2 linked regions of the Arabidopsis thaliana genome follow. The protein of the gene in region 1 interacts with the protein of each later gene in a biochemical or structural test. Each region holds a gene or a part of one and is shown in the gene's direction. Other genes may lie near its edges.

What was found. The genes of interacting proteins can lie anywhere in the genome.
Region 2: the proteins of AT4G20790 (region 1) and AT2G45340 form a complex in vitro, tested with the Arabidopsis thaliana proteins (one large-scale study listed by BioGRID).

Annotation. Positions count from the first base shown.
Region 1 is NC_003075.7:11,134,245-11,138,004, reverse strand, and holds AT4G20790 (Leucine-rich repeat protein kinase family protein), read left to right. Parts: upstream 1-1,581; coding exon 1,582-2,839; intron 2,840-2,931; coding exon 2,932-3,230; downstream 3,231-3,760.
Region 2 is NC_003071.7:18,689,994-18,693,753, forward strand, and holds the start of AT2G45340 (Leucine-rich repeat protein kinase family protein), read left to right. Parts: upstream 1-1,670; 5' UTR 1,671-1,745; coding exon 1,746-2,175; intron 2,176-2,536; coding exon 2,537-2,797; intron 2,798-3,004; coding exon 3,005-3,760.

The DNA of each region.
Region 1 (3,760 bases):
CATCGTCCCCTGAAAAAACGAAAACAGAGTCATCGTCTCCATCGTTATTTGTTGGCCGTACACTCAATTTCATAAACTGTAAAGCTTCTTATGATAACTCATACCTTCCATCTCGACAGATTTTGACAATGTGTGTATGATTTTCGAAGTGACGAGGGTTTATCTTCTTTTGACAATGACGACTTCAGAGAAGATGTCGACGACGAGAGAAGTTTATGTTCAACGAGGGTTTAGGAGATAAGTTTATGTTTGGTTTCAATGTCTTGAGGACAAATGGGTTTGAGTTTTGTGATATTAGCCCATGACAAATCTTGAATTTTGAATGATATTGGGCTGGTTTGAATTTGGCCCATTAGTTTTCATCAAAACACAAGAGGGGTAAAACGGTCTTTGACTATTTGCTGTATTAGAGGAGGGCTGTATTAGAGAGGACAGAAGAAACTACCCTATCAGCCTATTTTTAAAAAAACTGTCTAGTTCTCAAATTATTTCCCTAAAAACTGCCTAGTTCTCAACTTATCTCAAATGACTATTCCTCTCACTTTTTGAGTTAGTGCTCATGGAAGTAGCATTTAGCTTCTGTTGAATTCACCTTTTAATGCGTTGCATTAGTGTAAAATTCTCTAACAATTAAGAAGCCTGAGTAAGTTTGCAATAAATTTTATTTTCTTTATCAAAAGTTTACCTTTTAGCTCCTGTTGAATTTCCATTTTTTTAAAGATTCATTAAGACAATAACTATTATTTTTATATATTTTTATTATTCTTAATTAAGAAAATACAAAAAATTATAAAATATGTTAATAACAAAATAATAAACAATACAACATAGGAAACTATACCAATTAAAGAAATTAAATGCATATAGATTAGATGAATAAAAATAGAAATGTAGAAAATTAAAAATTATATATATGATTCTATAAATCTAAATTTTAAATTAGGCATATTAATTTGGTAAAATTGCAGAAATATAAAGTTCATTGGATATAAAGTGAAACTATTGAAGATTTTATTGATAGTAGTTTATATAATTCAATTCAATTCTCAAACAAAAATTATATTTAACATTGAGCACATTTACCAAATAATTATCGACTCAAATTCACCCACGTAGATGTTTGTTGCGCAAGAAAGAGAAAAAGTTTAGAACAAGATAAATAGACCAAAGAGACAAGAAATATATGAAAGGAATTCGAGGCACAATCTTACAAATACAAGCAAAACCATTCTAGATAATTTTTTACCAACTGACATAAACACATTATTATGTGTTCAATGACAACGAAAATGATAATTAAACATTGAAATTTGTTTTCATAGTGGAGCTATTGTAAAAAGTGTAGATATTCACAAAATTTAAAAAACTTCACAATTATTATTATTTTAATAATCTTCAACTTCCAAGCACACGATCACTAAAAGGAAAATGGGCGCGTAAATCTCATCCCACTCTGTTTCAAAATAACCGCCAACAACAACAACACCTCCAATAACACAGAAACTACCTCTCTGCTTCTCTCTCTAATCTCACCCATACACGAAACCAAATAACGAAACCTATTTGCTCTCTATCTCTCCAATGGCGTCTTCTCTGTTCTTCATCTTCTTCCTCACGTCACTACTATCATCCTATCTTCCTCTCTCAGTATTCTCCGCAACCGTCGTCGAAGACCTCGCTAATCTAAGTCCACCTCCTGATTTCAACACCACTATTTCCAACAACTGTCTTCGTGATCCAATGCTCCGTTACTGCAACAACACTTCCTCTTCTCCAATGGACATTGTCGAGATTTTCAGATCCACAATCGTCGCTAGTCATCTCTGTAACGAGTCCAAAAACCCTAACTGCGTTGAATCTTTCCCTAGAATCAGAATTCACGGTCGTCCTAAAACCGCTGCTCTTTACCTCTCTTTCGATTTCTTCTGGAAGTACTGTCCTTTAACCGTCGTTGATATCGAGTTAGTGAATAACTCTCTAACGAATGGTTTTCCGACAAATGTTCTGTCTTGTGCTCAGATTCGTACTCTTGATCTGAGTTACAACCAATTCTCTGGTTTTGTTCCGGTTCAAGATCTCTCAGGCTTACCCAATCTGACCCATTTGAACCTATCGTATAACCGATTCTCCGAGAATAAGATCTCGGATTCTGAGTTCTTCAAACGGTTTAACGCCTCTAGTTTCATACAGTCCGGTGTTCTTCCCAACGTGAAGCGTTACAAGATGAAAGTTTTGGTCTTGTTGATTGTTTTTCCAATAATGGTGATTTTGCTCTGTTTTTGCTTTGGCTGGTTATGTGTCAAGAGACCTGATTACTTACCAAGAACATGCCGGAGAAGAAACAAGTTCACATTCGCGATGCTTGAAGCAGCAACGGATGAGTTTTCAGATCAACATCTTGTGAGCATGAGCAATACAGTGGATATCTACAAAGGAACGTTAAGAGACGGGACAGAGACGAAGATCGAGGTTTATAAAGAGAAGGTTTCGAGTGAGAAAAGGCGTGAATTCGCAGAGGTATGCGAGATGGTTTTTAAGTTACGACACAAGAACTTGGTAAGAGTGTTGGGTTGGTGTAATAGTAGAAACATGAGAGCTTTGGTTACAGAATGGATTCAAGGTGAAAATGTTGAGACTTGGTTAAGTTCGTCAATGGCTTTATCATGGAGAAGAAGGTTAAGAGTAGTTCTAGGAGTTGTAGAAGGTATTTGTTATCTATCAGATCAATGGCCAGAGATTACATTTGATCTCACCACAAGCAGTGTTTTGTTATCCGATGATAATCAAGAACCTTTGATTTCTCATTTCAAGATTGGAGATAGAAACAACTTGTCAACAAGTAAGGCTTCATCTTCTTCTTGCAAAAATCAAAACCTTTTTAAGGCTATAAAAGCTAAGTCTGTTGTTGTTGTTGTTGTTGTGTTATTACAGATATATTCAACTTTGGATTGTTTTTTGTGGAGATGATTACAAATCTAAGACCTGATTTGGGACAAGAAGATTCAGAAAGAAGGTATCTTGAGTATATAAGAGTTCATTATCCGGATAATCTAGAGAGAGTGATTGATGAGAAGATGAAGATTGAGGGGAGAACATTTGATCAAGTTAAGCAAGCCATTACGCTAGGACTGATGTGTACTGATATAATACCACCATTAAAGCAACCAAGCTTGACGCAGATTTATGACTTGGTGAGTTCATTGTATGAGTCTAGTTCACGACATCATTGAAATACCTTGTAAAGCTTTATTGGTTTCTTTTGATTTTCAGACATCTGGTGTTAGATAGTATTGTAAGGATTAAAGACATATTTGTGTGTTTTTTCTTTGATTACTATAAGTACTGAGAGAATTTGCAGAAAATGAGTACTTAATTTGCAGACATGAAATCTGTAAATGGGCTTCATTTCTGCAAATGGGCTTTATTAGCTGAAATGGGTTTCATAGTTTTATGGGTTCTCAAATGACCCGACCCGGGTTGGAAGATATAGAAACTATACACTGGTTGGCAAATGGGAACGTTCGATTAAAAATTCGGTAACTACTACGACGTGACTTGTCTCTTCTCCGTTGAAAAGCCATCGACAGTTATGTATGAGTGTATCATTTATCAACTTGAAAGCAATTTCAGTTTTTAAAATAATCCAAATACTAATAAACCAGAAATTAACCCATCATCAAAGCATTAATAATCTTCATTACCATTTGAAACCGAAACTTGTATCACAATTAAATAACGATCATAAAATTAGACGTTTTTT
Region 2 (3,760 bases), on another chromosome or scaffold:
TCAAATTAATATTGTCTAATTAACACAATGTCATCATCATATAGAGATTTGACTGCACTAATTAAGTTATCATGGACACTTTCTTTCTGAAAATTCTCATTTTCTCACTCAAATAATAATTTCATTCTATAAATAGATAATGAAATACACACACATCTATCATCCACCAAAAATATCATCCACCACTACCCACGAAGTAAGAAAATTACAGAGAAAACGGAATATCTTTTAAGTAGACCTTAGCCTTTTGCTTTATTCTCTTGCTTTATGTCTTTCTTGTTTCTGTAAATTCACATGTTACACTTAGAGGAGAGCGAGGTGTTGGTCCATTTTACCTTTTGCTATGATCAGATATAGAAGATAGCAAAAACATTAACTCAAGACAAGTTCACATGTTTGTAAAATTTTACGTAAATTTGTTTATTAATTGTGTTAGAAAAATGTTCACATGTTGCTACTATTGACTTGCCTCCATCATCTTCTTTGTCCCATTTGATGTACTCTTAGCCCCATGCCTCTTGGATGCCTTTTTTACCTTTTAATTTGTTCTTATATAATATAAAATATTAGCTACCCTTTTTTTTGTTATTCATGGAACAATTATTTGCATCAAATATAGTAATTTAATGGAATAATATCAAGAAGATCCCATTTATCTTTGTACCTTATTCTCCATGTGAACATATAAAGCTTGTTATCAGGTTATTTGTACATGTAATATCTAAGGGTGTTTACTGATGATGATCGGATAAACTCGAGGTTTGATTTAGTCAAATATAGTTCTTTTCTAACTAAAATCCCAACCTCACAATTTTGATGTTTTTCAGTAAATATGGTCATTAATAAGTTATGAATTCGCTAATTAATAGAAATTTATAAGAAAACATATATCCAACATTTATGGATATATGAAAAGTTAAAAACAAATGATATAAAAAGTACAATTTTATAGCTGGTGCACTGAAAAAGAAACAACTTTTCTTACCATTAAATCCAGGGAGAATGGTATCATTTTCAATTTTGAAAAAAAGCTAAGATTCGCCTAACTATTATTGTTTTCCTCTGAAAAGACTTTAAAAGTAATCTTTACCGTATAAAGTACAGAAAATGAAATGAACTCGTGGACTTCAATGTTTTCAATTTTCATGAGTCTTTTGTTTTCCTTCAATTTCCAAATAAACTTATATATATATACTAATCAATCAAAAACAATCCACTCAAAATGTGAAACTATACATGTAGAATACTTGATGTAACATGAACAAACAATCAAAATATTGTAGTTAAAAAAATTTACTGTTGATTTTGATCAGTAATATGTGTAATTAAAAAGTGATAAAAAGTCAAGTGGTTTAAAATTATCATAAGAGTAACATATGGACTATGGTTCAAATACTTTCATTGCAATAACAATTATGTATAGTTAGCTACTATATGAATGTCTTAATACATTGCAATAACTTACATTGGAGATTAGTCTATATACATTTATATATTAAAAAATTAGAGTTGTGATCTATATAGTTCTCTATGTTATCATTTTACATTTTCATAGTTGAACTAACTTTTTATTATTATTATGTTCACGATATCTATACTTTTGTGGTTTAAGCTTTTCTTAGTATTAACAATCAAGAACTACTATTTTATAAATACAATGGACAAGATTTTTTCTTCAAAACCACAAGAGAGAGTCATTTTCATTTTCTTCCTCATCTCTCTCTCTCTCTTCTCTCCAACCAAACATGGTCTCTCCACTCACACTCTTTCTCATCCTCTTCTTCTTCTTCCTTTCTTCTGCACTGTCTTCCTCCTCCTCAGAGCTCGACATTCTCCTCGATATCAAATCCTCTCTCGACCCTGAAAAACGTTTCCTCACTTCATGGACTCCCGACGCCGACCCTTGCTCCTCTGGCTCCTTCGACGGTGTCGCGTGCGACGGAAACCGCCGTGTTGCTAACATCTCTCTTCAAGGAATGGGTCTCACTGGAACTATCCCTCCTTCAATCGGTCTTCTCACAAGCTTAACCGGTTTATACCTTCACTTCAACTCCTTGACCGGTCATATTCCTAAAGATATCTCAAATCTGCCTCTCCTCACCGATTTATACCTCAATGTCAACAATCTCTCCGGTGAAATCCCTCCTCTAATCGGGAACTTAGACAATCTTCAAGGTCGGTCTATTTATGCATGTGTTCTTTGTTAACCTCACTCACTATAATTCATTTATTGCAGCTAAAACACCTTAAGCGGGTCAAATTTGGTTTATTAAAACTTAGCTAAAAAGAGTTTAGGTCTTGAATGGTGTAGATTTTAGTTTTTTTTTTTAATCATCCATTCAAGTTTTTAGATTTTTGAGTCTCCTAGAAACTAGGGATACTCTCTATTGTCTCCTTCATCTTTCACTCTTTTTTATGCAAAACTCAAAAACAATTTTATTTGGGGTTTTGAAACTAAAATGTAAAACTCAACAAAAATAAGGGCAAATATAATTGCATCTATATATTCATAACACTTTTTTTTTTTTTTTTGCAGTTATACAGTTATGTTACAACAAGTTAAGTGGAAGTATACCGACACAGTTTGGTTCTCTTAAGAAGATAACTGTCTTGGCTTTACAGTATAACCAACTCTCCGGCGCCATTCCGGCGAGTTTAGGCGATATTGATACGTTAACGAGGCTTGATTTGAGCTTCAACAACCTCTTTGGTCCTGTTCCGGTGAAACTCGCCGGTGCTCCTTTGCTTGAAGTTCTCGACATTCGTAATAACTCCTTCTCCGGCTTCGTTCCCTCTGGTAATAATTTATTTTCCCTCAAGATTCATAAATTCTTCAGATTCTAAACCGGTTCAGTGTTGACCAATCCGATTAAACAGAACCGGGAACCAATCCAAAACCGGATCGTGGAGAACTTAAACCATATCAATTCTAAACCGGTTTTTACAACCACATTAAAGATGTTTTGCTGACTTGTTTGTTTCTTGATTTTTATGAATTATGAAGCTTTGAAGAGGCTAAACAATGGATTCCAGTATTCAAACAATCACGGTTTATGCGGAGATGGTTTCACTGATTTGAAAGCTTGCACCGGCTTAAACGGTCCGAACCCTAACCGACCAGACCCAACAAACCCAACGAATTTCACAACAGTTGACGTGAAACCAGAATCAGCAGATTTACAACGAAGCAATTGCAGTAACAACAATGGCGGGTGTTCATCAAAATCCTTAAAGTCTTCACCTTTAGGAATCGTCATGGGTCTAATAGGATCAATCCTCGCAGTTGCAATCTTTGGCGGTTCAACATTCACATGGTACAGACGAAGGAAACAGAAGATTGGAAGCAGTCTTGATGCAATGGACGGTAGGATTAGTACTGAGTACAACTTCAAAGAAGTTTCTAGAAGAAAAAGCTCTTCTCCATTGATCAGCTTAGAGTACGCAAGTGGTTGGGATCCGTTAGGACGAGGACAGAGCAGTAACAACAACAGTGCATTGTCTCAAGAAGTCTTTGAGAGCTTTATGTTCAATCTTGAGGAGATTGAGAGAGCTACTCAGAGCTTCTCTGAGATTAACTTGTTGGGGAAGAGTAATGTCTCTTCAGTTTATAAAGGTATCCTTAGAGATGGTTCTGTTGCAGCTATCAAATGTATAGCTAAATCGAGCTGTAAATCCGATGAATCCGAGTTTCTCAAAGGGTTGAAGATGCTGACACTGTTGAAGCATGAGAATTTAGCGAGGTTGAGAGGATTCTGCTGCT